Linked DNA regions of Stegostoma tigrinum. The protein of the gene in region 2 purifies or fractionates together with the protein of the main gene of each other region. This does not show direct contact. Links are inferred from orthologs where the notes say so. Each region holds a gene or a part of one and is shown on either strand. Other genes may lie near its edges.

The links.
Region 1: the proteins of ubiquitin thioesterase ZRANB1 (region 2) and hectd1 purify together in Homo sapiens (affinity purification with mass spectrometry; 5 studies listed by BioGRID and IntAct, with this or other methods). This does not show direct contact. The link is inferred for Stegostoma tigrinum from reciprocal best matches to the Homo sapiens genes ZRANB1 and HECTD1.

What each region holds. Positions count from the first base shown.
Region 1 is NC_081363.1:60,979,657-60,989,123, reverse strand, and holds the start of hectd1 (E3 ubiquitin-protein ligase HECTD1), read right to left. Parts: upstream 4,178-9,467; 5' UTR 3,886-4,177; intron 3,677-3,885; exon of another isoform or gene 3,387-3,676; intron 3,268-3,386; 5' UTR 3,143-3,267; coding exon 3,003-3,142; intron 1-3,002. UniProt on the Homo sapiens protein: E3 ubiquitin-protein ligase which accepts ubiquitin from an E2 ubiquitin-conjugating enzyme in the form of a thioester and then directly transfers the ubiquitin to targeted substrates.
Region 2 is NC_081373.1:30,892,666-30,902,811, reverse strand, and holds the start of ubiquitin thioesterase ZRANB1, read right to left. Parts: upstream 4,276-10,146; 5' UTR 4,091-4,275; intron 4,057-4,090; exon of another isoform or gene 3,953-4,056; intron 3,921-3,952; exon of another isoform or gene 3,387-3,920; intron 709-3,386; 5' UTR 547-708; intron 1-546. UniProt on the Homo sapiens protein: Ubiquitin thioesterase, which specifically hydrolyzes 'Lys-29'-linked and 'Lys-33'-linked diubiquitin. Also cleaves 'Lys-63'-linked chains, but with 40-fold less efficiency compared to 'Lys-29'-linked ones.

The DNA.
Region 1 (9,467 bases), on a different chromosome or scaffold from region 2:
AGTACTTGTACACTCCTCTTTCTGTCCCACAGTGGGTATCATTATCTAAGCAACGGCCCAGCAAATTTGTTTTTGCTTCACATGCCTCCATTTTCCTTTCTCGTGATCTCTCTCCATAGCTGTTTAGTTTACAGAGAAACTTCACACTTATTAGTTCTGTTTTTGTTTTTTGTCTTCATGGTGATCATTGCAAATACTTCAGCTTTGTTTTTCATACCAATGTGCTAAGCTTTGCTATTGGAAGAGGTAAGTGGAGGCTTCAATGGTTAATCTCTAACTGTTGCCCACCAATTGCAAGTGGATACAGCAGTGGGATTGTTTGGGATCACTTGGCTCTGTAAATAGCTTCTGCTGTTTAGCATGCTTGTAATCTTGAGTTGTTGCTCCACCAGGTTAGCCTTTTTGAAAAAAAAACTTAAACTTTCCATCTTCTGTTCCTATTAAGTAACTTAATAGCAATGCTTTGTGAGGGATATGCTAAACACCAAAAAAAAAAGCTAAAAACATAATAGAGAAAACAAAACGGGTGGGCAAACTAGCAAACATCCAAAAGTTGACATGAACTTATTTAAATATGTAAAAAGGAGACAGAGAGTCAGGTCAAGGACCCCTTAGGAAATGAAGCTGGTGAAATAGTTGAGGAATAAGGAAATGACAGAAGAGTTAAACTGATATTCTACATCACTCTTCACAGTGGAAAATACCACAGACAACCCATTAATGCAAAAGAATACAGGGGAGGAATTCACTATCATCGCCATCACCAGAGTAGTAGTAATGGAAAAGCTAACAATGCTAAAGGCAGATGAGTACCCTGGCCTTGATGGTTTGCATCCTAGGATCCTAAAAGTAGCAGCTACAGAGACCGTTGGTGTATCAGTATTAATTTTTCAAAATAACAGCAGCACACTGGAAAATCAGAGTTTAACCAGGCAGGGTCAGCATCACTTCAAAAGGGAAATCATATCTAACTAATTTTATTAGACGTTTGAGAAAATCTCAACTCGAGAGGATAGAGGGAAACCAGTACATGTGTTGTATTTGGACTTCCAGAAGATATCTGTCATCATACCTTACAAAAGGTTAAGTCTCATGGGCAAAGGTTAAATAGGCTATGTTTCTACTCACTAGAGTTTAAAAGAATGAGAGTGGGATCTCAATGAAACATATTGGATTCTGAAGGGATAACACTGTGGAGCTGGAAGAACACAGGAGGCCAGGCAGCAGAGAAGTAGGCATAGTTGATGTTTCTGGTCAGGACCCTTCTTTTCCTCCTCTTCCGACGCTGCTTGGCTTGCTGTGTTCCTCCAGCTCCACACGGTTATCTCTAACTCCAGCACTGGCAGTTGTTACTATCTCTGAGGATTCTAAAGGGGGTTGACAGAGTAAATAATGAAAGGATGTTTCCCACATGGGACAATCTGGAACCCGACGGCATTGTCTCTGAATAAAGGGGTGTCCATTTAAAATTCAGAGATGGAGGAATTTCTTCTTTCAGAGGGTTGACAGCCTTTGGAACTGCTTGCTACAGGCAGCTGTGGGCGCAAAGTCATTGTGCATGTACTTAATGCGGAGATAAATCAGTAGAGGAATTGAGAGTTATGAGGAAAGGGCAGGAAAGTGGATATGAGAAATGCCGAATCAGCTATCATCCTGCTGAATGGCAGAGCAGGCTTGAGGAGCCAAACCATCCAACTTCTGTTCTTATTTCTTATGACTTTTCAGTTTTATAGTTTCCGGTAGATAGTTCTGTTGCTATCAATGGCCGAGAGTGTTTGCTTACTATTTTATTTTCAGGCACCAAACCTCTAAAGACTCTACCCCATTTAGCTTGGTACTCGTGTCATACAGCATATGGGGAGTTTCCTCAGTATTAAGATGGAAATTGATCTCCCAGAGGATTGTGTGATGGCCACTCATACTAAGCCTGTCATGGACAGGTTCATCTGTGACAGGTAGATTGATGGAACAAAGTCAACTATGTTTTTTTATTTCTTCTTTCAACAAAATGCAATCAGAGATTCAGGACCAAGAGTGCCCTCCAAGCCTTTGTGATCCTCAGCAATTCCTTCAAGTCAGAGCCTGAGGGTTGACCTTATCGAGGTTTATGACGTCATGAGGAGCACGTATAGGGCGAACAGCCAAAATCTTTTTCCTATGAGAGTCCAAAATGAGAGGGAACACATTCAAGGTGAGGGCAGAAAAGATTTTAAAAGCTCCCAAGGGGCAACTTTCTCATGCATAGGGTAGCCAAAGGAAGTGGAGGAGATGGGTACAATTGCAACATTTAAATAGCTGGATGGGTGTTTGAGTACAAAGGATTTAGAGGGATATGGGCCAAATGCTGGCCAATGAGACTAGGTCAGATTGGGATATCTGGTTGGCGTGGAGCAGTTGGACCAAAGGGTCTGATTCTGTGTTGTATGACTACGACTATTAAGGTGAATGAATATCGTTGCCATTTTAACAGCGATGGATCTGAATCTAGCCAGAAGAGGTTATGCATATCAACTGTCAGGAAATCCATATTTCCAAACTTTCTGATTGAATCAATATCAGAAGTGACCCTTAAAAACACAGCCCATGTTTCTAACAATGTTTAATACCACAAGAACTCCTGTCTTCCAAGGTATTAAGTATGTCACATAACTCATTGCTGTTCCCAACCTAAAAGCAATTCGGCGTGTAATCACATCCATTTCCCTTGGGCAGCCACTTGCTCTGCAGAGCACGCACAATATCTCTGCGGTTGTGTTCGTAAAATATAAACTTTGTTGAAGCCATCGGAACGCAGATCTGAAACATTGTGAAATCCCTGGGTACTTCATAACCTTGTTCTCCCTTCTAATGCGTCACTTAGAGATACGATTAAAATAACTACCAACGCACAATTCTTGAAATTAAGAGCAAATATTAAAAAAAACAGCCCCAATCGAAGTTGGGATCCGGCAAAAGTCAAGTCAACAGAAAACGACCGACGACAAAATTAAAAGAAAACTTACGTTTCAAAACAACGATCCACATTATCGGACATGAGAAGTAACATGCACAGCTGCTCCAAGGCTATAAGCTGCATGTCCCTCTCGTCTCCCTGGCCCATTTGTAGCCATTCCAACAAGGTATCGGGATCCACATCGGCCATGATGAGATAGACCTCTTAAATCCCTGACAGTTATCCCCACTAATGTCCTCCTAAAACTGGGAGGCTGGTGGGAAAGTCCCTGGGAAGAGAGATCACCGTGTTTTCCACAACTGGTCCGAAAGAATCTAGCCAAAAAATAAAAGAAAGTACACGTTAACGGATTCTTTTTTGTGCATGTTATTTCAGTTCATCATCAATTCCCCCACTCTAAACCATCCCCTCGACCTTCCATGAAATAAATAACCTGAGAAAGTTTGGGCAAGCGATTTCCACCCGAAACTAACGCACTTGCCCGCTCAGGAGCCGCCATTTAAACATATTCGGCCTAAAGCTGGCGGATCAGTATTGTCCAGGCCCAGGCCGATGAGACTCAACAGCCGCCTCACGGGGACAGAGACGCAGGCCCCAGGCTGCCCGGTCCGGTCAACCCCGGGGCGGGGCGCTCGAAGGTAGTGACCGTGGCCGACGAGGCCCACTTAAACCGGAGAGGCCTGGGCCTCGCTTCAGCCTACCGCCCGGGCGGACACACAAAGAGACTCGGCCTGACCCGGAGATGATGATGATGATGATGATGATGATTGGGGGGGGGCGGGGGAAAGGAACAGGGTAAGACAGAGCAGTCCGTTGCGGCCGACTTCCCCTGGGCTAGCGCCTGGATTCTGACCGTAAGGCCTAGCGTCATCAAAGCCGGCTGGCCCCGAAAGCGACTCCTCGTCCCGTTCTCGACGACGGCGGCAATGTACCTCCACTCACCGGCTCTGGCTATCGGCGGCTCGAGAGACACCGCGGCATCATATCCTTTCCCCTCACTCTCCTCTCCCCCGCCGCCGCCGCCAGGCTGGCCGAAGTGTTCAAGAACAAGGGGCCGAGAGCACCTCCTGGTCGTGGGACCGAAACCGGAGCTCCAGGCACCGAATGCAGAGGGAGGAGGAGGAGGAGTAGGAGTGTCCGTTCCTCCCCTTTACCTAGGGAGCGACACTGAAACGCCGCGGCCTCTCACAAACGTCAAACCTTGTACGTCTCTCCGTGTGGTTATGTTTAATCTTGGAGAAATTAGATATAAAACAAACAACCACATTTCACCTCCTTTCGAAATACATGATGGGTGAGTCTTTTTTAAAAAAAAACACCTTGTGACCGTTGAATTAATTTCGTCGCTGGAGCCGTGAAAAACAAAACATGTTTTTCATTTGAGGCTGTGGAGTGGTGTGGTGTTCTCGGAGGGTTTCTCTGCGGGCCTGTTGGCAGAAGGACAGTTTCATCTGCCGTTAAGGTGAGTTTCGACGACGGACGCACAAATGAACGGATCGCTTCTCATCATTTCGAGGTAGATCGAGAGAGGCGTTTATCTCACAACGAACACCACAAAATCATATCATCTGACCGTTGTCATTGCTGTTTTTGTGCAGATTTGCTGTGTGCAAATTAGCTGCCATACTTCCTACAGTGCAGGCGTGACAATACTTGAGAAATGTCTCAGGTGAGGCCAAGCATTTTCTCTGATGAAGGGTCCAGGCCCGAAACGTCAGCTTTTGTGCTCCTGAGAAGCTGCTGGGCCTGCTGTGTTCATCCAGCTTCACACTTTGTTATCTTGCGATGACTTGTTCCTTTCAAGGTATCTCTTTTGACTCAGCCTTAGAAAGACATGGCTTATATACGACTCTAAAACATGTACTGTTTTTCATGAGCTTTTCAGATGCTATTTAGCTGAATAAAATACGTACAAGGGCACTTTTTCAAAGTGGTGTAGGAATGCCCAGCCAACATTCACCCCTCCACCCATTTCCTAAATCATACTGTTGGTTATTCGTAAACAGTTATCTTGAGAAAACGTTGAGAAAAAGTTGAGCATTAACCCAGTGGTATTTGGTATTGGTATTTGTGAATCAAATTCCAGCAATGGGTGAATAACCCTGCAACCTTTTAAATACCACAGGAGAGGTTAAGGCAAAGGGAGCAAAACATTATTTAAAATCTAGTACAGCCAAAGACAGAGTGATACTACGTTGGTCATTTTCCAGTTACTCCCGCAACCAAACGAGTATCAAACAATACGCTCTGTATTCCTTTAGAATCAACTAAGGAGTTGAACCCGGATCTTTGGGCTGCTCTGGGTCTTCGTACGTTTTGTGCAGAAGAGGATGTCTCCAGTGCTCCGTGGAATATTAACATAACATTGGAAACACCAGTTACAAGTGATAAGGCCAATTTCATTGCCATAGAAAGCTCTAGCTGTCAGCTGAGGTCAGAAGGTGCATTCTATGCTGCTAAGAAAAGCACCGTTCACTTCAAGTTGGGCAGTTCCCAAATAATGAGCTGCTGACTTGCCACAGGTCCATCTGCTTCAAAGGGGGCTTACGTCTAATAGCTCTTGCTCAACAAGCAAGTGGAATCTATCATACCAGGCAAACAAGTGAAAAACATGAAAAGAAAAAAGACACAAACTATTCTGTTAGTAGGCTTGAATGTCAGAACCAAGTGCCAACAGACAACTTGCAGCTGATGATAAAATGCAGAAGACAACAGTGATTCATGTGGAACTTGGACAGAATATCAACACAGCTTCCCTCCAAGACACCATATTCACAAAGAGTGGATCACTGAAAGAAAAACATATTCATCTGATAGGGAAGAGTTCAGAGCAGGTTTATGCGTCTGGTGTAGGTTTTGTTGTTAGGTAATTATTAATTTTGGTGATGGAACTCACTCCAGTTAGTTCAAAATATATTCTCCGCATCCGCTTCTGAACTCAAGCAGGGTCTGTTAACTTCATGGGCATCTGTGCTCCATGACAGAGGTGAAAGACAAGTTCTGTGAGGAGCGAGACACTGTCAGAAGAATCCCCAAGTCAGGATATCTTCATCCACTGGGGATTTCAGTGCAAGAGGGGATGCAGACCATAAGACATGGCCCTGCTGTCTCTGAAAGGTATATGAAAACAGACAGAAACAAATTAAGCTTCACCACTGTCACAAGCTTTTCAACACCTTTCAGAACAAGCCATACCATAATGTTGCCAGGAGACATCCAGGGTACAGCGTCCTGGAGACATTCTGGTGTGACCCAGTGGATGGAACCCTTGAAGCTTTTCTTCAAAGCAGAAATGTTGCCTTTGTATCAAGATCAAACATTTTGCCCACCATGTAAAAACCAACAGTTCCTCAACACAACACGCATTCACCAGCATTTCCACAATGAACACCAAAATAAAATGAAACATTCCATCAACGATATGCACTCTCAAAATATGGAAAGCAACACTAGGAAAGTGCTAACTGATAGAAGTCTGACATCTAACTGCCCTGTCAATATTCCAGCATTGGAACTGGAGACTTAACCTCCAGAACTAACCACATCTGTAGTTTAGCCGTTCAGTGTAGCTGTACACTGGCATCTAGCTGACAATGTGGAAAACTGTCCAAATATGACCTGTCCACAAAAAGCCGTACAAATCCAATCTGGCCAGTTGCCACGCCATCAACCATCTTTCAATTATCACCAAAATAATGGAAAGGTTTGCAACAGTGTTATCAAGCAGCATTTACACTGCAGTAACCTGCTCACATTATTATTTTGTGGTTCACCAGGACTCCTCAGCTGCTGCCTTCATTGCAGCCTTGGTCCAAACATGGGCAAAAGAACTGAACTAAGGAGGGGATAAAATCAAGGCAGTGTTTGCTTGAGTGTGACATCAAATTTAAAGTCAATGGGAATCAGGAGAAATATTCTGCACTGGTTGGGATCATACGTAGCACACAGGAAGATGGTCATGCTTGTTGGAGCCCAATTAGGGGATGTAATGCCCTAGTGGTATTATCACTGAACTGTTAATTCAGAGACCCAGGTAATGTTCCAGGGATCTGCATTTGAATCCCACCATGACAGATGATAGAATTTGAGTTCAATTAAGAACAGAACTGAAATTAAGAGTCCAGTGATGACCATGAATTCATTGCTGGTTGTCAGGAAAACCCCATCCAGTTCACTGGTGGCCCTTAGGGAAAGTGGAGTTAATATTCAATGTATAATTTTTTCCATAATATACTGAACATTAATTCATTTGCCATGGGCAAAGTTGCAAGTACTGATAGTGTACCATATGAACTCATAAAATATGAGAAACTGGTACTCTTGCAGCAACTGTGATAACTTCTCTTGCCTCTGCTGCAGAAATGGGGCAACAGCAGAATTGCAAAAATTTGCATGGCAGCTTCTTGTTCAACATCTTGAGCAAAGTATTTGGCTATTGTTGCCCTTGACAGACAGTAGTTCCTGCTGAATCCATTTACCTCAAATCCTAGTATTTTTCAGAACTGGAATTTCGACAGTTGTCATGAACTTCTCAGTCCAGCAACTGCAATAGCAACACAATAACAAAGGAGACCATTGTGCATTGCCTTCATTGATCTTATAAATGCATTCAGCCACGTGGACAGAGACAGTCCATTCAAGCTGCCATCCAAAATTGTTCAATGTGATCTCAACCATGACAATACAATGGGTAAGATCAACTACATAACAGAACAACATCAATACATAGTGCAGTTGGTGTTCTGGCACCGACAGTCCTTGGCATATTCATTCCTCACTTTGCTCCTGGAGTATGCCTTCAGGATATTCACAGAAACTGTCTCTTTACAGCCTTGTTCGTCTGAGTTCCAAGACAAAGATGCACCAAGCCATCATCAGACAGTTACTCTGCACCAACAGTGTTACTATCTTTCCATATTGAGGAATATCTGCAGCAGCAAATACTCAAAATCTTTATGATAATTCCCAAAAGGTCGGTGGGGAATCAGTAATTAATCTCCTATCGGAGCTTGTTGAGTACAAGTTCCCTCGGTAACAGGCAACGACTGACCCAGCTGAAAGTCATTGCCTGAACCTCACTGTTTCAGTAAGTCTATCGGTCTGTCTCATTCTTGCATTCTCCCATTTCAGCATTTATTTAAGGTAGTTGCTCAGTCTAGTGAATAAGATGTCTGACTTCAGTATTAACCAGGGTATTGGCAGAAGATTGCAGGTTCAGGTTATGCTGCGACAGTTTGCAGAGAGCTGTTTTGTAATGGTAGTATCACTACCTTTCAGCCAGGAGGCTCAGGTTGAACTCCCACCTGCTCCAGAGGCATGTAATGACATCTCTGAACAGGATGATTAGAAAAATAGGTTAAATTTTAAAAATTAATAAAGCAGACCCTGGAAGGGCAGGCCACACGCTCTTCTCTGTTCACCAACAGCCAGACATTTTTGCAACCAATATTTCAACCCCATCACTCAAAGGAGACACTGAAAAGAATCCCAGCCTTGCCTGACAGTCATATTTTTCCTTTAATTTACTGGAAATATGTCTTTTTGCCCACAAATTTGTTAACAGAACTCACTGCTGAATATTCAGAAAAATATCTAGCTGTGTTGAACTCCAAACGATTATAATAAAAAAACTTCAAGCTTTTAAAGATGACAGACATATCTGCAGTGATTGAGACAATCCTGAAATTCAAAAGCATGCATTGAAAGAGAACTTGTTGACAGTTTCTTCACTAAATCAGCTTCTCCATCATCAATTTTAAATAAATAAACACCTTACCAACGGAGGAGGGGCTGTTGTTGAGTGAAAAAAGAAAAAAAAAGCAGGCCCCTCTTCCACAGTTACATTCATGTCTGAATATCATTGGAGAAGGAGTATGTGGTGTCCATCAAAGCTCTTGATGCCTTTAGAGAGACATGGGCACCAAGGGCAATAAAGTGATTTATCTCATCCTCCAATTTCATTTTAGAACATAGAACAGTACAGCACAGTACAGGCTTTTTGGCTCATGTGTTGTGCCGACCTACTCTAAGATCAAACTACCCTGCATACCCTATATTTTACAATCAGCCAAATGCCTATCCAAGGTCAGTTAAATGTCCCTAATGTATCTGCCAGCAGTACATTCCACACACCCACCATTCACAGTGAAAATAACCCACCTCTGATATCTCCCCTATACCTTCCTCCAATCACCTTAAAATTATGCCCCTTGTAATAGTAATTTCCACTCTGGGAAGAAGTGTCTAGCTATCCACTCTATCTATGTCTCTCATCATCTTGTACATCTATATCAAGTCACCTCTCATCCTTCATTGGTCTAATGAGAAAAGTCCTAGCTCCCTCAACCTTTCTTCATAACACCTACCCTCCTGCATCCTGGTAAATCTCCACTGCACCCTCTCTAATCAAAAGTGAACACAATATTCCAAGTGTGATCTAACCAGGGTTTTATAAAGCTGCGCAAAACCTCACCTAACGTCTTATTCTCAATACCCCTGCCAATGAAAGCCAACA
Region 2 (10,146 bases):
ACCAAGCAAATATGCATTTAACTCCCATATCAAAGTATAAATTAATTAGGACCAATTCAGCGTAACCACAGCACAGTAAAATATATATCTGACATCACAAACTGGTAATTTGTTTAGCAGAAAGAAATAAATTGCTCTTTGGTGAGATCCTCACAAAAGAGGCAACGCTCCTTACAATGATATCCTAGATAGTGACCACTACAGTTAAGACTCTGTGCACTCTGGAAAACCAACTCCAGAACTCATTACAAAATCCATTAGTGTGGAATCAGTTCATCTATGCTTATTCCCTCACTAGTTTATGAGAAGGAAACCACGCATCCATGAGAAAAAAGCTAATTGGATGCAAATGTCAAGAATAAGTGTATATATAACATTCTTTTGCACAATTTACATAAATCATCTGTATTTAATAAATTAAGTATGTTATATTACCCAGGCTGGTTATGAGTTTAAAAGAAAGAATGACTGTTAAGCTATTTGGATTGCCAATGAAAACCCAACAGGTTTCACTAATGCCCTCAGAGGGAAGGAAACCTTGCTCACCTTACCTGGTCTGGCCTATAAGTGATTCCAGTTCCATACCAATTCTTAACTGCCCGCTGAAATGGACTAGAACATCACTCGGTTCAAGGAGGTGGTTCAAAACCACCTTCTCAAGACAACTAGGGATGGGAAGATGCCAGCCTTTCCATTGACGCCCACATCCTGAGAACGAACAATTAAAAAAGAGAGAGAACTGGAAAATTTCTATTTAAAAATGAAGAACCAAGAGAAAGTCCAACATTTTCAAGAACTACCATCAGTTTATGGTTGACTGCTGCTCATTTACCAGGGCCAACCAAGTAAATAATCATGGAATCATACTGCACAGAGGGAAGTCGTTCAGCCACGCACCCTTGCCAGCTCCAAAGGGCTATCCAATTACTCCCTCTCCTCTTTTCCCCTTGTCTAAGCAACATTCCTGCCCTTTGATTTAAGCATATAATCCTTTTCTGAAAGTTAATTAAATTCTGCTTCTGCTACCCTTTCAAGAAGCCCATTGCTGATCATGACCATTACTTAAGAAATGGTCTGTAAATGGAGGTCACCAGAGTACCACAGAAATGGAGTCATATACCTGAATTATAAAAAGATAGACATTTGTTACAAGTGTATATGGTATTCTCCACTTTTTTAAAAATTCTAACAGATAATTAAAGCACACAGTAGTGGAAATCAAAGGACCTGTACACTTGAGTAAAACTACAAAACAGAATATCTAGCAAATTACTGTTCCAAAAAGGACAGTGGCCCAGGTTAATAGCTTACACACAGGAACAATGTTATAGTGGGGTCCCAACTTCAAGTGTGTTAGTAACTTTCCTATCTTAACACGTTTTAATATCACACTAGACAAATTCTACTCATAAAAAATGTGGGGCTCAACACACATCCATATTATACGTGCTTTAGCACGTCATTTTATAGTAGATCTCAGTGCATTGAGAGATGTTCATTAACTTTTGTTTAGTGCTTTGGAATTCGTACAATATTCTAAATCATCAGGTTTCCTCTCATTCTGCAACTACAATAGTATTGCTACTCCTTAAATTTTGGAATCTGCAGCAAATTTGATAAATAACCTTGCATCCTCAGTCTAGAAGAAAAATTTGACTGCACTCCCAAATTTTGATCACTCAAAATAACTGAACTTCCTACTTCCCATGAACATTGACATCTTCATATGACGACTTTTTGTTTCAAAGAAGTTAATTTTCAAATAGATATAAATTAAACACAGTAGCAAGTATGACGGATGTACTTGCTAGCTCTGCTGTCATCTAATAACTGCAGTATATTTGAGACAATCAACAAAACCAAATGGAAACAGCGGAGATCCACTCCAAGTACACAAAGGCATTTGGCAGAAGAAATAAAATTTGTAGACATATTTATGTATTTCAAAACTCAGCATAAACTATTATAAACTAATTTTTTTTTGGAATCCCATAAAATCCAAAACTCTGGTCTACATTAACTAAAGCTATTCCATAAAACTACAGAATCACTGGTTGTATGCTTACAAAATCCTTCCTTTTAAAGAAAGCAGTTACAATGCACTTGATTTAATACAGTTTTGCAAGATTTTACAAAATTACAAAATTTACCTCCAAACAAACTTTACTCCTGCCTTAGTTGTGTCAGCAATTTTCCACCAAACTTTTTATAGGTGGTACTAACCAACCAGGTATGACATGACTAAGCAGGCCACAACTCTGATAAAATTCATTCAAAACTTAGCATGCAAGAGTAAATCTTTCAGACATTGTTAGCCAAATCGATGCTGTATTTGTGGCTATTGTTAGAGAAAAGTACAGTTTCACAGATTGTTCACTTCACTTTCCGGGCTAGGGATAAGAAAGATAACTATAATTCTCACCACTCTATTAACAAAAGAAAGTCATTAAAGGTAGTAATATCCTGATCAAAAAAATTCAATCCAACAACGAAACTTTTAATCCAATATAATCACTATGCACAGAACACACTAAATACACACACCCGTTACTGAATATTCAAATCAGTCTTCTTGTATGGGGCTTTACAATTCAACATCCAAATTCAAAATGTTTTGATTAGGCTGAATTTCGTCGATAATAATGTAAACCTAAAAATAAACACACTATTCTGTACAGTTTTCACTTCACAAATCCCTGATGGCTGAAAACATTACACTTCATCACTACACAACCCTGTAAAAAGTTCAACAATTAATGCTACAAGAGAAGTACATGCTTCACAGTCTAATATTAAAGCAAAACTCTAAGACAGCAGAGCCAAGAGTTCATTTATTAGCAAGAAGCTGAATATACCTAATTAATCCAAGATATTAATCAGTGGGGGGGGGGGAGAGAAGAGAGGAGCTAACAGTTGTAGCCTTTATCAAGAAAAAAAATTACACCTGCTGGCTACACAACCTCAATGCCTTAGAGCCTTCCGGTTGATGACTAAGCTAAGTGTCAAACAGTCCCTAAATTATGTGGCTAAAATAATTGCTTATTGCTAAATCCAAATTATTGACAAGTACAATGTGAGAATGTAGCGTTCAAAACAGAATTATGCAGTGTTGAAATAAAAACTGCCACTCTGCAATAACTGAACTGCAATTCTGAATTTAATGATGATGATGATGATGATGATGATGATGATGGGGAAAGCAAAAAAATTTGATAAATTATGGTTCATATTCAAAAAGGATTTTAATTTATTTAACAACCCACCAATTTTGAACAAAAATCTCCCATTGGACTACAACTGTAAACAAACGAGAGTCAACAAGCGGCACTCAAGAAAGATTCCATTAATAGATATGGAATGGCAGCCACGTTACAAAAAAAACTTACAAAAATCACGTCGAAATGCTTTACTTTTTGGTCATGGAGATTGGGCCATAAAAATAAGGGTTTCAACAATAATAACGAAATGTACTTTGATTTCTTGTTTGTAGAGATCTGTTTTCAAACATTCGATCTCTAAGCTCCACAAACGTAGCGCTGGGTCCGGATAAAATGCAATTGGAAACAGAACCCCAGAAAAACAGAAAGCTATGCCAAGACAGATACAGTACGAATCTCATCTTGCATCAGAACATGAGTTTTATCTTTAGAAAGCTACTATTTGTTCGAATAGATATCCAGCCTGTTGTAATAGTATCAAAGTTCAGGTTCTGAACAAGATGTAAAGAGAAAACTAGATTTCTTCACGCACAATACAAAGGAGGCAATCGACTCTTTTCGTGGCCCCACCACCTCCGAACTTCAATGTACCGGCTTCATAACTGCTTGGGATAAACTTCTGAAAAGCCTACGTGCACCTTTACCTAATCGGGTGGTTGGGCTGAACCCAAGACTACACAACACGTCAACAGAGCTGCTGTTAAAGGAGCATGCAGATTTGTCTTAACACTAACTTCCAAAGGAGCGGACCTGCACCGATCCACGCTGGGCTGCGGACAAGAATGCTTCTCTGCCACTCCGGGCAGAATAACTAAAGAGCGCGGAAAAGAGCTGCGGTGCTTTTTTCTGTGTGACTGACGACCAACAGTTACCTAATTCCAGATCTCAGGCACTGGCCTGACATTCAGCTGCGCTGGGGCTGCACCTCCATTCCACCGCCGCCGTCGGTACCCCATCTCTTTCATTTACATTCAGTGTCAGAGGGACTGCATACAACAAACAGACCTTCTCCTCCACCGCCGCCGTTCCAGACGATCTCACTTCTCTCTACTTTCCCCCCCTCCCCACCCCTCCCCCGCAGCCCCCGCCGCTCTTTCCCTTACATGGTGGCCGGGTCAAATAAAAAGAAATCCCACCCCCTCCGCCCCGACTCACTCCCGTCGCACCTCACCCCCGTCCGACTAGCGACCTCCAGCTTCTACCCTTCTCCCACCCCCCCCCCCCTCCTCCCCAAGCCTCCTCTTCCTTTTTGTTCTTATGACATTTTTTTTTCCTTCCTTTTCTCAGGCTCCTCCGTTCGACTCTAATGGCGACGGCAAAGACAACATCGGACAAAGTTTGCTGGGATATTTAAAACGTCACTCCGCAACTCGCGCCCGCTCGCTCCCCTCATTGGCCGCCGCTCGGGCTCAGGCGTCGGACCAATCGTAGCAGACATCCGTGATGTTTTGGAACCGACGTCACCCCGGGTAACCGGGCTGTAACGTCATCACGTCAACCGAACGTTGGAGGCGAGGCGATTTCACGTCACGTAACTCAACACTGCTGTGTTTTTTGATTGGCCGACGATTACATCACCCACTATCTCGGACGGAATGCAACTCAGCTGATCAGAGCTTCTGTGCGCGGCGCCAGAGTCGGATTCACAACCCTTGTACGACTTAAACTCGCTGAACTTATAACTCACGCTATTTATTTTGGTAGTGACTAGGCGGAGATATGATCAAATAAAGATGCAGTTCTCAAAGAGCTACCGAACTAAGTAACCTGAGTACATATGTACATAAATCATTGAAGGTCGCAGAATATGGTGAGGGGATCGGTTAAGAAAGTATACAGCATCACAGATAGTAGGAACTGAAGAAGGGTCCAGACCCGAAACGTCGTCCTGCTCCTCTTGTGCTGCTTAGCCTGCTCTGTATTCATCCAGCTCTACACCTGGTTATCTTTATACAGCATCATAGGTTTTATTAATAGAGACATCGCGCACAAAAGCAAGGAAGCGAATTAAATTTGCACAGAACACTAAGCTGGCTTCAACTATAGTATCGCGCACAGTTTTGGACATGATGCTTCCGGAAGTATGTGCAGGCATTACGAGGAGTTCAGAGAATATTAATTGCTTCAAGGATAAGAAAACTCAATTATGTGGATAAATTTGCAAAATTAAGACTGGAGAAGAAAATATTGAGATATTTTTAATACAAGTATTCAACACCATGCGTCTGGATAAAGTAAACGATGGATCTGGATGCATAGATCTTTGGAGGTGGTAGGACAAATTGACAGATTGGTTTGCAAAGCAAATGGCATCGTGGGCTTCACAAATTAAGTACAAAAGCAGTCAAGGTCTGTTGAACCATTATAAAGCTCTAGTTTGCCCACAAAAACAAATTGCATCCAGTTGTAACTACCACACTTTTGGAAAGATTTCAACATCTTAGAGGGTGAAAGAGATTTACAAGTACAGTTCCAAGGATGAGAAGTTTTATTAGACTGGAAAAGCTCATTATTTTTATCAAAGCATAGGCAAATGAGTGGAGTTTATAGGAGACGTAGAAGATTGTGACAGTTTTAGAATACAGAAAGAAAAGTTGTTCCCAGTGATGCTACAAGGATGAGTGGACACGGATTTAAAGTTTTTGTCAAGACTTGCAGGGAAATTTAAGAAAGACTTCTTTTATACACCAACTGAAACTAGTTCTGTATGTGGGCAGTGGAAGCAAAGATAGTCAGTGATTTCTAACAAAAATTAGATAGGAAAAATATTAACTTTCAGGGCTACAGGCATGGAGTGGAGAAACAGGACTGACTAGATTGTTTTGCAGAGAACTGGCATCAGTTTGATGGAAAAGTTTCCTCCTTCTGTGACATAATAAATTGGTAATCCAAAGCAAATAGTGTGCTATTGATTTTGTTGCCTACAACATCCACCCAAACAGGCAGAGAGCATCAGTTTAACATCACAAGTAAAAGATTCCTTCTGTCCTGTGTTGGAATGCTGGCCGTGGAGTTCCACAAACTGGCCCTGCAGTTCAGAAGCAGTTGTTCTTCCAATTAAGCCACAGCTGACATGCAGTTGGAATTTGATACTGGATGCTAAATTAACATTGATGCAAAGCACAAGGTTTAAATTCTCACATTCAGGTTGATAACCACTGGTCGGAGATAGTGCTAGATGTTTGACTCGTTGGATGTTGCAACTGTGTCACAATCTTTGGAACGCTTTCCCAAATCTCAGGTTTTTATCAGCTCTCCCACAATCTGCTGCTTTCAATTCTATTATCTTTTCTGGCTATTGTTTACTTACTGGCTCTTAAAAGACATTTTCCACAACAAGATTATAAATGTAATTCTATTGTTTAGTTGGCAAATACTATTTGTACAAAAATGCTTTCACCTGAAACTGAAAAAGCACTAACAAATTAAATTGGTTGTAACCATATTTCACTGTACAAATTCATGATCAATTTGTTTCAAATTTTAATTGATGTCTGGCCTCTAACAGATTTTATAAAGCATCTTGAATCAACTATTGAAAAGAATTGATTACTTGATATTTTTAGGCTGGCACTCCAATCTCGTACTAACAGAGTGCTGCACCATCTGAGAAACCATCTTGATGAGATCTAACATTGAGACTCTATATGCCTGCCTGCATCAATGTAAAGTATCCCATATCACTATTTCAAAGAAGAGCAGTCATACCTCTGGCATTTAAACCAATTTTTATCACTCAGTTAAGATTGCCAAAATCACATTGTTATTTGTGGACACTTGCCGAGTGCAAATTAGCTATATTGTTTCTTACATTATAGCACACACTAAACAATGACTCCACTTCCACTGTTTTCCAAGGAAGGGTGTTTCAAAGACCTCAAAGGAAAAATTCTCACCTCCATATTAAATGAAAGGCTCCTTAATTTTAAACTGCAACCCCTAGTTCTTGTCTTTCCAAAAGTGGAAATATCCTTTGAGCATACATAAAGTGAAGACATCTCAGTGTCTCGTATGTCTCACCAGGATCACTTTTTATTCTTCTAAACTCTATGGTTGTAGGCCCAACCCTCCATATCCCAGGTATCAGTTAAATGAACCTTATCTGACCTGTTTTAACTCATCTGTAGTCTTTCGTTCTGCAAAAGAGAGGTTTGTCTTACTTTTCCCTGCAACTCCTGCCAAAAGTAAGGAGACTAAAAATGCATACAGCTCTCTAGATATGGTCTCACAAATATCCTGTATAACTGTGGCAAGAGACCCTTTCTTTTATTCATCACTTTCTTTGCAATAAATAACAATGTTCTAAATGCCTTCCGAATAACTCGTCATACCTACATATGCACTTTGTGATTCATACACCAGGACACCCCAGATCTCTCTGTACCACACCTCTGCAATCTTTCACAACTTTAATAAAATGCTGCTTTTATATTCTTCTTGCCAAAGTGAACAAGTTCACATTTTCCCCCATTAAAGGAAAATTCATCACATTCCTATTGGACCATTGTGTTGCTCTCTCACTAGTGACAAAACTGTAGGCAGTTTACCCTGAGGATCACCATGCATCAAATGAGTGGAGAGATTGAGGAATATCCTTCATAGTAACTTTAGTTGGTCATTCTCCTGCTTGCCCTCTTTAACTAAGTCTTTTATAAATCAATTTATCTCAGCCTTCAAGATATTCAATGGCACAGATTTCACCACTCTCTTTAGAAGAGAATTCCACAGCCTAACAATCCTCATCTCTATCTTAAGTAGAAGAACTAATTTAAACCAAGTCCCATGGTCCTAAAGTAAACAGTATCACAATACTTTACCCTCTACCCCCTCACAATCTTAGATGTTTCAGTCAGATTACCTCTCATTCTACTGCAATCCAATGAGTAGAGGCCCAACCTCCTCAAAGTATATTCAAAAGATAAACTTTCTCTTAGGCATCAACCTCATGGACAGTCTCTGAACTGCTTCCAAAGCAGGTGTGTCTTTTCTCAAGTAAGGAGACTTGAAAATTATTTTTATTATTAGTTAATGGGATACAAGTACCATTAGTCGTCCATCCATAACTGTCCTCAAAGTGGAGGAAATAAGATGCCTTCCTAAACCACTGCAGTCCTTAAAAGGTGTAAGTACACCCACGATGCCCTTGCTTTGTTGTGTGTAGCAGGATTTCTCTATTTTTATACTCAATCTTCTTCACAACAAGGACCAAAGTTCTATTTGCTTTCCACATTACTTGCAGTATTTACATGTCAACATTTAGTAATTCATGTACAAGAACAACCAGGTCCCTCTTTACTGCAGCATTAGTTTATTTTCATGTCAATAATATTCCATTTTTCCGTTCTCCCTGCCAGAGTGGTAACCTAATTTCCAATCATTATATTTTGTTTGCCAAATTTTTGCACACCCACTCAACATATCTAGATCCCAGGTTATGTTCACTTCATAATTTGTTTTTCTACCTAACTAGCATGTAAATATGGCTACAATAGTCAGTTCCTCTATGCAAGTAACAAATCTAAACTGTAAATAATTGAGGCTCCAGCACTAATCTCTGTTGCATTCACTTTTTTGAGTTTATCAACCTCAAAAATGAGCCATTTAACTGACTGTTTATTGCTAACCAACCAATTCTCCATCCATGCTAATATATCACCACTAACACCATGACCTCTTCTGCTATAACCTCTGATATGGAGACTTACCGAATCCCTGTTAGAAATCCAAATACATTGCATCTACTGGTTCCCCTTTATCCACCTTGTTTACAAAATACTAAAAGAATACTAACAAATTGTCCAAATAATTCCCATTCAAAAGGCCACATTTTCTCTACCCGTGTATTACCATTTTCTAAATGTCTTCATAATAATGGCTTCTAGCAATTTCTCAATGGCAGAAATGTTAGACTAACCAATCATTAGTTCCTAAGATAGTAGGAACTGCCAACGCTGGAAAATCCGAGATAAAACAGTGTGAAGCTGGATGAACACAGCAGGCCAAGCAGCATCGGAGGACCTGAAAAGCTGATGTTTCGGGTCAAGACCCTTCTTTGGACCTGAAGCATCAGCTTTCCTGCTCCTCTGATGCCGCTTGGCCTGCTGTGTTCAGCTTCACACTGTTTTAACTCATTAGTCTCTTCTTTCTGAATACAGGTGTTATCAATGTCACTTTCCAACTGAAAGAAAAATAATTTTAAGGGATAAACATGTAATTTAGCTACATATTTGCTTTCTATGTACTTGTATATGCTTTCACTACTCAAGTTTACCTTTCTTGCTGATTTTCTCTCACACGTAATTCTCCAGTTTACCATGATAAAGAATGTTGGTGAAAAGCAATACAGGGAGAAATAAGAAACATTAAAGATTAAATGAAAAGTCCTAGTCCTGATGGAATGGTGGCTACAAATTAGATTATTGAGAGAATGGTTGTGCTATCTTCCTACACTGCAATCTGGAAAATGTCAGTTAAAATTCCTCACTACCTCTCCTCCAAGACAGATCTTCAAACTCATTTCATTCAACAAACATTTGAATAACACTAATACTAATATCACTTACACCTTTAACTTGGCGTTCATTATTTATTATCATTAAGTTGCTTTGAAACAATTTTGTGATGACAATATAGTTCAAAGATAGCACCTCATGACTAGTTAAACCACAACTGCCACTCACCACGGCCTCGGCAAACGACTGCTATCCCCACCCCCCACACCAACATTAGAGCCCGCCCCTTTCCTAGCCCACCCCTAAATCCAGTCCACGCCCCTTTCCCAAACACCATCCTCATAGAGCGGATAGCACCACCCACTTCCCTCCAAACTCCGCCTCCTACCAAAGGGAAAATAAAAGGCTCGATGCCTCGCCCCTCTGCTACGGGTACTATCCATCACAAAGCGAAGCGCCCCGCCCCCTCACTGTGC